Linked DNA regions of Pelodiscus sinensis. The protein of the gene in region 2 purifies or fractionates together with the protein of the main gene of each other region. This does not show direct contact. Links are inferred from orthologs where the notes say so. Each region holds a gene or a part of one and is shown on either strand. Other genes may lie near its edges.

Region 1 (7,737 bases), on a different chromosome or scaffold from region 2:
GTTCCTACGTTTCTTACCCAGCCTGATTTGGAACGAGTGCCGTAGAGGGGAAAGATGCTGCATCCCTCCTCCAAATTCCCTGAGCTGCTCACTCCCAATGGGATATAGCATCAGTCAAGCAAATACTCAAGACAGCTAGATTGTTATGAAAAGCCTCCTGCAGGCAGAAAGGCAGGCCCTGAACCCAAGGAGTCTCTCTTCAGAGCCCATGTAGGGAGCCGAGTGAACACGGCCTAGAGTGGGCCTCTCAAATCCCATGCTCAGTAACCGCCAAACCCTTTTCCCCTCCCACAACACTACTCCTGGTTCTAGCTTTAGTTGCCGTAAGACTTGGCTTTAGCCAGAAAATGCCGACACTGAACTTCCTGGTGGCCTAAAATGGATCTTGAAGGACAAACAGTTATTTATGCACTCGGACTCCAGGTCTGTCCCTAGCATCACCCTCCGTCCCCACCTCTCTGCTCCTGGAGGCTGAGACCACACAGTTAACAGGAGCTGTACCCTGGACAATGGACTTCAGGGGAAGTCAGAATCCCAACTGGCATCTTTGGTTCTGACGGCACAGGCATAACACACCTGCATCAGCAGAGGCAGCCCCACGCTTTGGCAGCTACCCTGCACCTCTCTGCCAGGCCCAGACTACCCGCCATTGTTTATCCTGGGCCTTTCCGTCTGTACAGAAACAAGTGCGCTGGGGCCAGGACTGAAAACAAACACCCTCGGCTCAAGGCAGCCCAGTAAGTCAGCTCTCTGCACCAAGCACTGGAGACCACAAGCCCCCACGGCATCTGCTCAGTAGCCGGAACCTGGAACTTGCATTTCCAGGGCAGACTTCCCGCCCCTGCTCCCCAGCTTCCCGCTCATCCCCTCCGTCCAAACGCAGGCATGAAAGCAGCTACAGGTGGGGGGGATCAGAGAGAAGGAGCGAGTCATTTGCGTGGAATGCAGCGGACTTAGTACCAGCATGAGGCATTTCAAAAACAAAAAAGGATGCACAGCCGATAATTATGCCCTGCACAGACCTCAGTGGCGCTTGCCGGCAATGCTGGGACGGACACACCCACCTACCATTCACAAGGGAAGCTGCATGTTTTGGTTACCCAAAAAAAAAAATTCTATTTAAATCTTAGGTCAGCTCCCCTTTTCCTTCTCTCCCTGACACGTGAGGCTTTAAAAACCTGGCCTATCAGTGAGATTGCAACAGCAAGGGACCAAGGGAGGGGTAAATATTTGGCTTCAAAGAGTCAGAAGCCTGGCTCTCAAAAACAAACCTGTCACATCAAATCAGGGGGTAAAGATTAGATGTTGGTAGGCCAGGGGAGGGGGATTGGAGGACAAGCCAGGAGAGAAGCAAAGAACAATGATGCATCAACATATCCTGCCTTAGGAAGATGAAGTATATACACTGCAGGGAGAGGGAAATAAAAGTCCCGCTTCTTGCAAAAGCAGAGATGGTTGAAACCTGACCTTTTTAAGAAGGGCTGTGACACAGTGAACTGGTAAGCATGAGGCTTTCTGATATGCTTACATGTTAACCAGCTGATCCACCCTTGCTGGTGACCCCCAGGGGTGGCTAAAGCAGCCCCCATAGCAGAGAGACCAGCCGGCTGGGCCCCATAGCCGCTGCAGGGCCAGACTCCAAGTTAAAATGGTTCACCGGTGAAGCGCTAGCATTTAACCGGTTAACCATTTTAACATCCCTATTTCTAAAGGAAATGGTGCGTGGTGATGGAAGCCGCAACAGTCGCTCTTCCTCACACACACACACACCCCTTTTGGGGAGTGGGGGTACCTACTGAGATCAGGCAGCCCTGCTGAGCTGGGTGTTGTCCCACAAGCCAAGTGGTGTGCAAACAGGCCTCACATCTGCCCCCAAGGAAAATGGGGCTCAAGACCCGTGTTTGTAGGGATGCTGAATCACACATCCCCACCCCAGACAACAGGGGACATGCAAAATGCCTGCCAGCACGCAGGGAAACGGCAGGGCATGCTACCCCACTCCCCAAATAACACAAGTGTGTGGGGGGTGAGATGAATTGCCCTTTAACTTGTGAAAGTGGGGTGCCCACTGTGGATGATGCCAAATCAACCCCCCCTCTCTCCAGAGGGAGGCTGAAAGAAGGGGAGAGTGGGGTGCAGAGGGAGCAGGCAGGAATAAAGGCGGGGAGACTCAAATCCTGTCCAGGACATTTTTTGGGGAGGTTGCGGGTTAAAAAGGTTGGATGTGGGGGGGCTGGTGGAGACGGGGTCAGGAAGGAGATGGGCACAGGAGGGCCAGGTGGCAGGGAGAAGATGGGGAGACACCGATGGGGGGGGGAGATGCAGGCAGGCCCAGCGGGGCGGAGCTGGTGCGGGGAAATGGGGCAGCAGGTCGGCAAGGAGCAAAAGATGGGGGAGGGACGGAAGCGGGGCAGAGGGGGGTCCTGGGGGCAGGCGGGAGGAGGGGCGAGGAGTGGATGGCGGGAGCAGAGAGGCCGGGGGGTGGGTGGGGACCCGGGGGTCAGACGGGGAGGGGCAGAGAAGCCGAGGGGGGCAGAGACTGGGGGGGCGGGGGGGCAGAGAGGCCAGAGGGACCCGGGGATCAGGAAGAGAGGGCAGGCGGGGGGGGGGGGCGGGAAGACCCGGGGGTCAGGCGGGGGGGCAGGGAGGCCGGGGGGACCCAGGGACCGGCGGGGGGCGGGCGAGGGGACCCGGGGGGTGGAGCGGGGGGGGGCACGGAGGCCGGGGGCCGGGCGGGGAGACCCGGGGGTCAGGCGGGGGGACCCGGCGGGGGAGGCGGGGGAACCGGGGGGCGAGGGGGCCCGGGGGTCAGGCGAGGGGGGGCGAGGGGGCCCGGGGGTCAGGCGGGGGGGCGGGGGGACCCGATGGGGGGCGAGGGTTGCAGGGGGGCGGAGCGGGGTGGGCACGGAGGCCGGGTGGGGGGACCCGGCGGGGGGGGGCAGGAAGGCGACGAGACCGGAGGGCGGGGGGGGCCCGGGGAGACCTGATGGGGAGCGGGGGTTGCAGGGGGGCGGGGAGACCCAGGGACTGGCGGGGGGGCCCGGGGGCCGGGCGGGGGGGCCGGGCCCGAGGGCGGGAAGGAGGCAGCGCGCGGCGGGGCCGGGCCTTGGGGCGGCGCCCGGCGGGGGGGGGGGGGGGCCAGGCCGCGCGGCCGGGGGGGGGGTACCTGGTCCGCGATGCTGAGGATCCCCATCTCCGGGCCTCAGCGCCGAGCTCCCGGCATCAGGCTCCGGCCGCGGCGGCTCCGGCTGCGGGGCGGGGAGGGACTGAGCCCGCCCACCGGGCCCGAGCGCAGCGACCCCTGCCGGCCCGCGGCCAGCCCGCCCGCGCGGGGCGGGGCCCTGGAGCCGGGGGGGGGGGGCAGGTCCCATGGATCCCCGAGAGGGGGGGGCCAGGCCCCATGGATCCCCGGGGGGGGGGCCGGCCCCATGGATCCCCGAGAAGGGGGGGGCGGGCCCCATGGATCCCTGAGAGGGGGGGGCCGGCTCCCATGGATCCCTGAGAGGGGGGGGCCGGCTCCCATGGATCCCGGAGGGGGGGGCCATGCCCCATGGATCCCGGAGGGGGGGGGGCAGGCCCCATGGATCCCTGAGGGGGGGCCGGCTCCCATGGATCCCCGAGAGGGGGGGCCAGGCCCCATGGATCCCGGGGGGGGGGGGGCGAGATGTGTGAGTCTCCAGGGGGGGTGACCTGGGACCCATGGAGCTCTGCAGTGGATCTGGGGCCCAAGAGGTGCTGGGCTAGGTGCCAGGGCCTCAAAGAGATCCTCTCTGACAGAGGAGGGTCACTTAGGGCCACCCCTGCCAGCAGTGCCTGGACCCTGCAGCCTGGACCCCCTGGACAACCTGGCACCCCCTTTTTGCCCTGGGGTGCATCACTTCTCCTGAACTTTGCCATCGCCTCAACAGGGGCAATCCAGGTAAGTCCATTTTGCACGTGGGCCTGTGAGCTTCCCTCAAACCCAGTCCATCCACCCCACATGGTTGGGTCTCAGCTGAGACGGGTGAGCAAAACAATAGAGAAACTTGGGCAAGTTAGGTGCCTCAGTGTCCCCCCAAAGCCTGTGGCAAGAGGTGAGGAACAGCCCTACCTACACGTCTGGTCAATTGCTATAACCACAGGGATCTACCACCATTTCCTGATGGCTTCCAAGTGGGATGGGTTGGTAGCCCCTGTAATAAATAAGAATTAAAAGCTGATCAAATTATTACATTCATTCTTTGCACTTCTATCTGAGAATCCACTGACTTGTATCTAGTATTCACAATAAAAAGTATCTAGTATTCACAATAAAAGATTACCTCTAATCTTTTCCATCCATGTGTGGATTTTTTCCCACCCTGTGTGGAATAATTTTTTGATGTGCACTGAGGGATGTGCACCACCAGTAGCAACAAAAAGTCTAGCTATGGGCGCTCTACTAATCAGCTGGGTAACATTGGAATTTCTCCTAAGCAGCCGCACAAGTGCACGTTTTCCAGAGAACACTCCTAGCACAGACCAAGCTGCCTCTCAGGCCTTGTTTACAAAGGGTTTGCTGGTACGGACACAATGGTAATCCCCCTAGTGGAGACAGCGATTCCAGCAAAACGGTTTTTCATTCTGTTCGCCCAATGGAATCGTTAAGACTTGCCAAATATTTTTGTTGCCGCTAAAACTGTGTCTACACTAGATCTTTTGCCAATCCAGGCCTATCGGTTGGGGTATGATTTTTTTTACGCTCCTAACAAATGTAGCTATACTAATCATATTGTCGAGTAGAGACCGGACCTCAGAGTGGAAAGTTTGGTCCTTTGTGGCTATCCCTCTCATCTGGAAATCAGGAGGTCCGAGTTTTACATGGACTTGACTCTCTGATTTTAGGAAGCTGAAACAGAGGGGTGCCCAGTGAAGTGACTCTCATAGACGTCAAGGCCAGAAGAGACCGTCATGACTGTGTAGTGCAGAATTCAGATCTCTTTCTTCAGGTGCCTTCCTAAAATCTCCTGGTTTCACCATGTACACAAGAAATTAACTATTAAACAGTTCTCATTTCTGTGCCAGTCTTTTAGGTCCTGATCCTTTAAAACTCACTCCCAGGTGTAAATGCTTCCATCTATGAATTCAAAGGATCTATTTATGGAAGTACGCATTGCGCTTGGTAGTAGATGTTTTCAGGATTGGGATGTTATATTGTAGGTTGTAGGTTCTTCAGACCAAGGATTGTTTTGATACCAGAGTAAGGATAAGGATGTTAAATATTGACTAATCGATGCCCTAGGGTTGTTGCTACACTTCAAAGGCAAAGGTGCCATGTGGAGCCTGGGGTCGGCTGGGCTTGATCCTGGGCTCCATGCAGTGCTGCCTGACACTGGGCTCCCCATGGTGTTTTAACATGGCAGCGCTGCACAGAGCCCAGGATCGTCAGGGGAGTCCCCAGTTGATCCTGGGTTCCATGTGGTGCTGCCCCTTTGAAACTCTGCATGCAGCCTGGGGACACTGCAGCTGGCCCCAGGCTGCATGTGGTGTTTCAAAGGGGCAGTGCTGTGTGGAGCCTGGCACCAGGCTTCAAGAGGTGCTGCTGCTTTGAAGTACCCCCTCTTCTTTGCTGCCTCTGACCTCCCTACATTTTGGGCCCCCCTTATCCTTCCTTTGTCCCAAGGCTGCCAGGTTTGGCTAGATAGAGGCAGCAAGGAGGATGGGGAAGGACTAGTCAACTATTCTTCACATCCCTATACCAGAGCACCTAGCATATTGTCTTTGCTTAACAAGTAACAAATCATAACAACAAAGTGGTGCTCTGTGGACCCCAGATAACCATTGCTGAATGACTCTAATAGCGACCTCATAGGCAAGTGAAACCTGCCAGACAAAAGGCCCCAAAAGTGGCTCACAAATCTTTACCAATTGATCCTGGGACATTTCAGCGGGCCTTGTAGATGTAGGGACCTGTAGTCTCTACTAGGCAGCTACAGTTCAGGAGAGCTTCCAAAAGCTGCCACCCTGGTGCTTGTTGGGGCAAGTTTTGGGAGCGCCTCAAAGAAAAAGTCCTGTTTAAAGAAACAAGTGATCGGTGCAACCAGAGGAGCTGAATAACCATTTTCTGCTGTGGCAAGGCGTTTCTAATTGCCCTCTCTGTCGCTATTTGAGGGCGCCGCTTTGAATAGCTGCCTCTGTGTTTTGAAACAACATCCACAGACATATTTACATTGACTGCCATGGAGCGTGGTGGGGACATAGTCTGGGGGGCTGGTGGGGCAGCACCACTTGGGGCTCTACTTTTGATCTCCGGTTGAACTGAGCTCAGAGGAGGAGCCGGGAAGCTGTTTGTACTGTTGATACTGTAGCTGGGCTATTTTTATCATGGTTTTGGACCATTAGCCAAGTGTTACCTACCAGTGAAATCAAGGTGAAATCATAGCACTGAAAAGCCATGAAGAGCAGCTGTTGACATTTTCACCAGTGACATATTTCCCCGAAGGAGGAAGCAGTCGGACTAAACCTTCCCTGGCATCACAAGATCAGCAGCCTGGTGCATCTGGAGGACTACTCCAGTCATTTGTAGTGTAGCCTCTCTTTTTCTTCTCTCTTTGCCCACAAAGGAAGCAAAAGGAGGGGATTCCTAGTCCAATTCTCTGATAGCTGGGGTTTGAGCAACATTCGGTAACTGGCTTCCCCAAAAGAAGATGGAATTAGATGATTCATAGATTCCAAGGTCAAAAGGGAATGGTGGTGAGAATGAAAATAGAAGGACATCTGGAACTGTTTAGACACTAACTGCTAATCAGTCCCAGGATATATTGCTTAGCCCAGAGGTGGGCAATAATTTTTGCAAGGGGGCCACTTAATGAATTTTGGTAGGTGGTCATGGGCCGGCAGGGCCTGGAGTGGAAGGGGCAGAGCATGGGGCTAGCCTCCCTCCAGAGTTGTCTGGGGCTGGAAGCTTTGAATTAAAGAGCTGGCTGCCCTGTGCTGGGTTGCTGTGGCGATTTAAAGGGCTCACAGCTCCAGCCCCTGCTGGGGAAGCACCACGACTGGCAGTCGTGAGCCCTTTAAATACAATCCTGCTGCCTGAGCCACTGCCTGGAAATTCAGTGGCCCGGGCAGCAGGATATAAATAGAATCTGGCCAGATGCAGTCTGCAGGCTGGATCAAAGTGTTAGGTGGGCTGGCTCCGGTCCCCGGGATGCATCTTGACCAGCACTGGCTTAGCCCATCGATCTAGGAGTCAGGACTCCTGGGTTCTGTTCATGGCTGCAACACAGGCATAGGCAGGTTACTTACCTTTTTGCTGCCCCAGTTCTTCCATCGATGAAATGAGCATCATAGTTTTAACCCTCCCATGAGGTCTCTGAGACGTCAATATTAGTTTGTAAAGCACTTTGAGATTCATGAATGCAAAACCAGAGTTCAACGGTAAGTGTATTTTATTATGATTATAGTCAAAGAAAGATGAAACATGGATAAGTGGTTTGACCCAGTCGTGCTTTAAGGATGATTTCTAGGATCCTCAAGAAAGCCCACGGAGCAAAAGCTCACTTTGGGGAAAAGGTTGTTATGATGTGTTCTGATGGCATGACATGGCTTCCTGCTTTGGTCGGAGATGATAGTGAGATGATCATGAGAGTGTTGCACTGAGTCACAATAACGTCCATGTGTCCTCGTCCATGTGTGGGTCTCCTAGCTGGTGTGAAAATACAAATAATAACAAGGGGATGCTATTTTGCTGAGCTGTGCTAATTTTGTGCTCAATTACAT
Region 2 (8,518 bases):
CTCAAGCCGTATTTTGCCTGCTCCTGGCATAGATGGCCAAGCTCTGTTGTTAATTTCTGCCTCTTCTACCAACTAACAGAGTACGAGAGCTCACTCTGCTATGCAGTATCAAAGCAAAATGAGCACTTACCAGAGCTCCCCTCTCCTACACCCTGTGCGCCAGAGGTGGGGGGCTGGGACTGGACCCTCCCCTGCCACTGGATGACCCTGCCGTTTGCTCCATATCCTCCTCCTGCCCCTTTTGCCAACCACTTTGCCACTAGGGTTGACTCTCTGGCCACGGCCTCCAGTTCCCCTGAAGTATCTGTGGGGCTCTTGGCAGTGGAGGTGAGGTTCCCACCAAGGGTGGTGTGCAGTTCCTTAAACTCTTTGGCGCCACACCAGAGTGAGAGCTAGCCTCCCTTGCCTTCTGGTAGGCCAGCCGCAGCTCCTTGATGTTGGCCTAGCATGGTTGCATTTTCTGTGTGTTGTGGACAAGAACTGACTTTTGTCGCTAAAACCGTGTAGCGTAGACCAGGACTTAGGAGTCCAAGAGCAGGGGCGGAGAACCTAAAACTAGATGCACGGATGCTATACAAAAGGGTTTGCTGAGCATTGGCATTTCTGAGGAGCTGCTTCTAGACAGAATGGAAAGGGACTCAAAGAGCCACCCCCAAATAGATGGTAGAAAGGCTAGAAGTAAAAGAATTGATTGGATGTTAATAAACTGACATTGCCCTGCATGAGAAGCTAAAAATGTAAATGTAGAGCCGGTGGAGTCACTCCAGATTTACACCACTGTAATATGGAGCAGAATCTGGCCCAGTGACTAGAAACTGCATTAAAATCATTTAACAGATGTAGATATTGGGATAGAGAGTACGCTTATTAAGTTTGCAGATGATACCAAACTGGGTGGGGTTGCGACTTCTTTGGAGGATAGGGACATAATTCAAAATGACCTTAGCAGGTTAGAGAAATGGTCAGAGGTAAACAGGATGAGGTTTAATAAAGAGAAATGCAAAGTGCTCCACTTAGGAAGGAACAATCAGTTCCATACATACAAGATGGGAAGCGACTGTCTAGGAAGGAGCATGGCGGAAAGGGATCTAGGGGTCATAGTGGACCACAAGTTGAATATGAGTCAACAGTGTGATGCTGTTGCAAAAAAAGCAAATATGATTCTAGGTTGTATCAACAGGTGTGTTGTAAGCAAAACTCGTGAAGTCATTCTGCCGCTCTACTCTGCACTAGTTAGGCCTCAGCTGGAGTACTGTGTCCAGTTCTGGGCGCCACATTTCAAGAAAGATGTGGAGAAATTGGAAAGGGTACAGAGAAGAGCGACAAGAATGATTAAAGGTTTAGAGAACATGACCTATGAAGCCAGGCTTCATGAACTGGGCTTGTTTAGTTTGGAAAAAAGAAGATTAAGGGGGGACATGATAGCGGTTTTCAAATATCTAAAAGGGTGTCACAAGGAGGAAGGCGAAAATTTGTTCCTCTTGGTTTCTGAGGACAGGACAAGGAGTAATGGGCTTAAAGTGCAGCAGGGGAGGTTTAGATTGGACATTAGAAAAAAATTCCTAACTGTCAGGGTGGTCAAATATTGGAATAAATTGCCAAGGGAGGTGGTGGAATCTCCCTCTCTGGAGATATTTAAGGACAGGTTAGATAGACATCTGTCAGGGATGGTGTAGACAGAGCTTGGTCCTGCCTTGAGGGCGGGGGGCTGGACTCGATGACCTCTCGAGGTCCCTTCCAGTCCTTTTATTCTATGATTCTATGATTCTAACAGACTATTGTATTTGTCCAGATAGAGAGAAATCCCTTTACCAATACAAACTATATTTGGTGTCCTTTCCCTCCTATGTGTCTGTCCAAGATACTGATTGTTAAGCTTTAAATCTGAGCTTGACTGTTCGTCTGCCCTGTAATCTGAGTCTTGGAAGATGTAATTGTCAAGGGAGACATCTGGAGCTCACCCAGGATCTGTGCTGGCCTTGTGCCCATTATTGTTCCTCTTTGAAATGACAGTGCACATTTCTTTAGTATGTCTTCTGCCTATTGTTTGCTTCTCAGAGGTTCCTAGACCTATCACTACCATTCTTACTTAATCTTTTTGGCAAACACTTGCCCAGATAAAATGTATGTGTGGTGGTGACAGCTGTACGAATTTCCTTGATTCCTTGAAGGCATTTTATAGAAGGGGAAAACTATTTGGCTGAATTCGCTGGTCTTTTTGGTTCACATGGACTCCACTTTAATATTCTTAATCGGACTTCTCAAGCCCTTTCTCTACAAATAAACAGATTTAAATGATCTTAAATTCCTTTTAAATTTTTGCTTCATTTGTCTCCTCGGTAACTTAGCCTATTTAGTTGTCCAGGGAGAAATTCAGTGCCATAATACAATTTTTCTGCAATCTGAGATGCATGTGTATCTGAGATCCTAGACTCAACAAATTAAAGGTTGTATTGTAATATTGTATCGTCTGGGAAAACTTGTGACCTCATGGTTAAAGACTGCACCAGAAAGCATACACATGGTAACCGAGGCAGGCTTTGGCATTCAATCTTAACATTGATATTTCTTAACTTTTTGACGGGTTCTGATGATCTGAGGCTTGGCCCCGGAGTATTTCACTTGGTTGTTGTAGAGCTTTTACTTGGGCTTCCCAAGTGTTCTGGGCCTGTGACATTTAGGAATTCTGTGGCAGAGAGATGCAGAGAACTTCTGGTCTGCAGAGAAGGTAAGTAAGCTCCCAAACTCTAGACTAGAGGACGAGGCCTGCCAGAGTTCAGTTTTCCTGAGGTATCTAAGAACCACGGGTCCAGAGTTTTATTCCTATGAAGTTCCCAAATTCTGACCATATTTTTGCACTTAAGGTCCTGCAGAACTTAAGCGTATTTGGGGGCTGACCTCACCAAAGCTCTCACTAATCTCTCCTCAGATGGCAGTCATTCCATACCCCTAATATTTTTATGTTGCCCTTTTCTGAACTTTTTCCAATGCCGATGTATCTTTTTTGAGAGGAGGCGACCACATCGGTACGCGGTATTCAAGACGTGAGTGTTCCATAGATTAAAAGAGAGGCAATAAAATATTCACTGTCTTATTCTCTATCCCCTTCTTAATGATTCCCAGTATCCTGTTTAAAAGTCATCGAAGAGGCCCTGCCTTAAAGAGCTTACAGACTAACTCCAGGTCTACTGGAAACATTTGCAGGTGTAGTAACACCAATTAGGAATTGTGTGTGTGTGTGTGTGTGTGTGTGTGTGTGTGTAATAAGCCTATATTTGCAAAAGTCCTAGTGTGGATAGAGTTCTACTAGTAAAACCACCCTTATACTGTATACATTATACTACCAAAAACACTTTTTTGCCTGTATAAACTGTGCCTACATTAGGGGTGTATGCCGGTTTAGTGTTACTGGAAAAAATCTTTTCTCCTGAAGACAGGGTTGCCAGGTGTCCGGTTTTCACCCAGACTGTCCGTTATTTGGGTCCCCCGTCCGGTTAAAAAACCAGAAAATACTGGACATGTGAACTGTCCAGTATTTCCTGTTTCCCTCGGACAGAAGCCCGGCGGGGACAATTTTCCCCTGCAGTGTCTGGTGGGGGCCGGGGAGTTAGGAGCACAGGGCCATTTAAAGTCGTGGTGCCCCTTTTTTTTTTCTTAACAACTTTGGTTTCCCCCTTTTTTTTCTCAACGGAATTTTTCCTGGTGTTTTGTTTTGTTTTTTTGCGGGGAGGGGGGAGATGTTCGGTATTTTTTGTTAAACCATCTGGCAACCCTACCTGAAGATTTGGCCATCATCTCCAAACCTGCAAAGACTTGCATGTGAGTAACTTTATTTATGTGAGTAGCCCTTTAGACTTCCATGAAATAACACAAATGCTGAACATTAAGACTGAAAGTATTTGCAGGATGAAGGCCTAAATAAGACAGGCAAAGGGAAGACAAGACACACTGAGAGACTATGGGAAATGGTCCAATGTGACATTTTTCAAATTCCAAGTAATCATTTTCTTGTACCAGGCTGGCATGTAGAGGGCAGTTGAACTGATTTTTAAAAAGAGCTTCAGAGAACATCCTGGCAATTACAGGCGGGATGGGGGTGGATCAGGGCGGGAAAGAGCGGAGCAGGAGTGAGGCCTGGGGTAGAGGTGAGGGTTGTCCCAGCCCTCCTCCCTAAGGATGGTAGAAGAGAAATCATGGTTTTTTTGGGGGCTGAGGGGGCGCTGGTCAGTACCCAGCAACTGGTAGAAACTATGGTAAAAACAAAATGATCAGACCAATCAATAATGTGTTTTGTGGGGAAAGAGCCAATGTGGCTTTTCTAAGGGAAATCATGCCTCACTAATCTATTAGGATTCTTTAAGGGTGTTAACAAGCACATGGATACAGGGAGTCAATCAATATTTATACCAGGTCTTTCACCAAACTTAAGAACATAAGTACCCATAGTATAAGTAGCCATTCTCCCCCACGCCAAATGCCATTCCCACCCGCCACGGAACCTTCCCATCCTCCTCATGGAACCTTCCCATCTCCCTTCCCCATGCCCATGGAACCTTCCCCCTCCCGCCCATGGGACCTTCCCATCTCCCCTCCCCATGCCCATGGGACCTTCCCATCTCCCCTCCCCATGCCCATGGAACCTTCCCCCTCCCGCCCATGGGACCTTCCCATCTCCCTTCCCCATGCCCATGGAACCTTCCCCCTCCCGCCCATGGGACCTTCCCATCTCCCCTCCCCATGTCCATGGAACCTTCCCCCTCCCGCCCATGGGACCTTCCCATCTCCCCTCCCCATGCCCATGGAACCTTCCCCCTCCCGCCCATGGGACCTTCCCATCTCCCCTCCCCATGCCCATGGGACCTTCCCATCTCCCCTCCCATGGGACCTTCCCATCTCCCTTCCCCATGCCCATGGAACCTTCCCCCTCCCGCCCATGGGACCTTCCCAGCTCCCCTCCCCATGTCCATGGAACCTTCCCCCTCCCGCCCATGGGACCTTCCCATCTCCCCTCCCCATGCCCATGGAACCTTCCCCCTCCCGCCCATGGGACCTTCCCATCTCCCCTCCCCATATCCATGGAACCTTCCCCCACCCCATGGAACCGTCCCATCTCCCCTCCCCATGCCCATGGAACCTTCCCCCTGCTCCTACCCTGGAGCTGCCCAGCGGCTTCACGTGCCTGTCACTCCATTGGCCCCGCCCACTCCGCGCGGCAGGCCCGCCCCCTTCCCGGGTCTGGGCAGGCCGCTCCCGCCGCCATTTTGGAGCGAGCGAGCCTGAGGCGTCCGAGCCCTCAGCCCGGCGCCCGGTGACAGCGCGACCCGCCGCCGCCCCTCGCGCCTCTGCAGCCGGGGAGCGGCCGCGCCTCGGGCCGCGCGGGGAGGCCCCGAGCAGGTGAGAGCGCGGCCGAGCCCGGGGTCCCTGGGGACGGAGCCGCCGCGCGCCCGGCTCCCTGCCGGCAGCGCCCCCCAGCCCCCCCGGGCCCCCCGGGCCTGCCCCCCCGAACCTCCCGAGCTCCCTGCCGGCAGCGCCCCCCAGCCCCCCCGGGCCCCCCCCGGGCCTGCCCCCCCGAACCCCCCCGAGCTCCCTGCCGGCAGCGCCCCCCCGGGCCCCCCCGGGCCTGCCCCCCCCGAACCCCCCCGAGCTCCCTGCCGGCAGCGCCCCCGAGAGCCCCCCCCGGGCCCCGCCGAACCCCCCCCGAGCTCCCTGCCGGCAGCGCCCCCGAGAGCCCCCCCCACCCCCCCCCGAACCCCCGCGAGCTCCCTGCCGGCAGCGCCCCCCAGCCCCCCCGGGCCCCCCCCGGGCCTGCCCCCCCGAACCCCCCCGAGCTTCCTGCCGGCAGCGCCCCCCCGGGCCCCCCCGGGCCTGCCCCCCCGAACCCCCCCGAGCTCCCTGCCGGCAGCGCCCCCGAGAGCCCCCCCCCGGGCCCCGCCGAACCCCCCCCGAGCTCCCTGCCGGCAGCGCCCCCGAGAGCCCCCCCCCACCCCCCCCGAACCCCCGCGAGCTCCCTGCCGGCAGCGCCCCCCAGCCCCCCCGGGCCCCCCCCGGGCCTGCCCCCCCGAACCCCCCCGAGCTCCCTGCCGGCAGCGCCCCCCCGGGCCCCCCGGGCCCCCCCGGGCCTGCCCCCCCGAACCCCCCCGAGCTCCCTGCCGGCAGCGCCCCCGAGAGCCCCCCCGGGCCCGCCCCCCCGAACCCCCCCGAGCTCCCTGCCGGCAGCGCCCCCGAAAGTCCCCCCCGGGCCCCCCCGGGCCTGCCCCCCCGAACCCCCCCGAGCTCCCTGCCGGCAGCGCCCCCGAGAGTCCCCCCCGGGCCCCTCCGGGCCTGCCCCCCCGAACCCCCCCGAGCTCCCTGCCGGCAGCGCCCCCGAGAGCCCCCCCAAACCCCCCGGGCCTGATCCCCTCCCGAGAGCCCCCCGGTCCCGCCCCCATCGGGCCCCCCCGAGCTCCCTGCCGGCAGCGCCCCCGAGAGCCCCCCCAGCCCCCCGGGCCTGCCCCCCCGAACCCCCGAGAGCCCCCCCTGAGCTCCCTGCCAGCAGCGCCCCCGAGAGCCCCCCCAGCCCCCAGCCCCCCCGGGCCTGCCCCCCCGAACCCCCGAGAGCCCCCCCGGGTCCCCCCCCCGAGCTCCCTGCCGGCAGCGCCCCCGAGAGCCCCCCCCCGGGCTGGCCCCTCGAGCTTGACCCCCCCCGAGCCCGCCCCGAGCTCCCTGCCGGCAGCGCCCCCGAGAGTCCCCCCCGGGCCCCTCCGGGCCTGCCCCCCCGAACCCCCCCGAGCTCCCTGCCGGCAGCGCCCCCGAGAGCCCCCCCAAACCTCCCGGGCCTGATCCCCTCCCGAGAGCCCCCCGGTCCCGCCCCCATCGGGCCCCCCCGAGCTCCCTGCCGGCAGCGCCCCCGAGAGCCCCCCCAGCCCCCCGGGCCTGCCCCCCCGAACCCCCGAGAGCCCCCCCTGAGCTCCCTGCCAGCAGCGCCCCCGAGAGCCCCCCCAGCCCCCAGCCCCCCCGGGCCTGCCCCCCCGAACCCCCGAGAGCCCCCCCGGGTCCCCCCCCCGAGCTCCCTGCCGGCAGCGCCCCCGAGAGCCCCCCCCCGGGCTGGCCCCTCGAGCTTGACCCCCCCGAGCCCGCCCCGAGCTCCCTGCTGGCAGCACCCCCGAGAGCCTGCCTCCCCGAGTACCCCCCGGGCCTGCCCCCCCTGAGCTCCCTGCCCCGCCCAGCCCCCTGCCCCCCGACCCCCTCCGGGCCTGCCCCCCCGAACCTCCCGAGCTCCCTGCCAGCAGCGCCCCCGAGTCCCCCAGGAGCCTGCCCCCCGAGCCCCCCGAACTCCCTGAGCCCCCAGTGCCCCCCCGCGCTCCGAGCCCTCAGCGCCCCCGAGGCCTGCCCCCAAGCTGCGTGATCCACTGAGGGCCCCCTGAGCTGTCTGACCTCCCAACACTTCCCCAGCTGTCTGATCCCCCCCTCCAGTGCCCCCCTGAGCTGCCTGACCCCCCAGCACCCCGAGCTGTCTGCCCCCCTGTGCTCCTCCCCAGCGCCCCTGAGCTGTCTGACACTCCCAGCACCCCCCCAGTGCTCCCTGGAGCTGTCTGATGCCCCCCCCAGTGCCTCCCTGGAGCTGGCAGTGCCCCCCCATACCTCTCAGAGCTGTCTGACACCCCCTCCCAGTGCACCTGGAGCTTTTTGTGCCCCCTTAACTCCCAAAGCTGTTTGACCCTTCTCCCATTACCTGCCCCGGAGCTGTCTGAGCTCCCGGTGATGCCTCTAGCCCCCAGTGTGCCTGCCCTGTGAGCTCCCTTACCAGGTGTCTTCCTCCTTTGGGTGTGCCTATCACCATGGGCCTCCCCTGAGGTGACTAAGCCCTCCTCCCAGTTGAGGTGTCTACATCCCTGGATGGACCTGCTCCAAAGTGTGTGTTGTCCTCCCTCCCCTGGGAATCTGAGCCATCATGAGCTCTCCCCCATAGTGTCTGCCCTCTAGCCTCATGAAGCACGTGAGGCCCCCTTTATCCAATGTGCCTGCCCTCTTGAGCTCCCTCTCTCTGGATATATCTGAGCCCCCCATAGAGATGCCTGTGGATCTAGATGTGCTTCACTCTCCCAACATCCATGAGCCCTCTCCATGGAAACATCAGTCCCCCCCACCTCCTGCTTGCCTTCCTGTGGTACCCTGAGCTTGCCTGCCTCACCATGTACTCATCAGTGTGTCTGCTTCCTGAGTCTCCCCATGTACTCCCCAAGTTGGCTCCTTGTGAGACCTGTGATCCCCTCCACTGACTGTGTGTGCCTCCCTAGCCTGCGCAGCACACCCTGATCCCTCCCTAGATGTGTCAGTCTCCTGAGCCCCCCCAGATGTGTCTGCTCCCTCATGACCCTTCCTACCCCCTGTATCTGCCCACTGCCTCCTCCCGTGAATCCTTCTCACCTCCAGTGTCCACCTCGCCATTTGTAACACTACTGACCCTCCTTGTGTGTCAGTCTCCCGTCCTGACATCCTGAGTCCCAGGTCTATCCCAGAAGTGTCAGCTTGCTAGGTC

What was found. The genes of interacting proteins can lie anywhere in the genome.
Region 1: the proteins of PPP6R2 (region 2) and ANKRD52 purify together in Homo sapiens (affinity purification with mass spectrometry; 3 studies listed by BioGRID and IntAct, counting the BioPlex papers as one, with this or other methods). This does not show direct contact. The link is inferred for Pelodiscus sinensis from reciprocal best matches to the Homo sapiens genes PPP6R2 and ANKRD52.

Annotation. Positions count from the first base shown.
Region 1 is NC_134729.1:3,912,775-3,920,511, reverse strand, and holds the start of ANKRD52 (serine/threonine-protein phosphatase 6 regulatory ankyrin repeat subunit C), read right to left. Parts: upstream 3,318-7,737; 5' UTR 3,194-3,317; coding exon 3,167-3,193; intron 1-3,166. UniProt on the Homo sapiens protein: Putative regulatory subunit of protein phosphatase 6 (PP6) that may be involved in the recognition of phosphoprotein substrates.
Region 2 is NC_134711.1:648,578-657,095, forward strand, and holds the start of PPP6R2 (serine/threonine-protein phosphatase 6 regulatory subunit 2), read left to right. Parts: upstream 1-5,237; 5' UTR 5,238-5,394; intron 5,395-8,518. UniProt on the Homo sapiens protein: Regulatory subunit of protein phosphatase 6 (PP6). May function as a scaffolding PP6 subunit. Involved in the PP6-mediated dephosphorylation of NFKBIE opposing its degradation in response to TNF-alpha.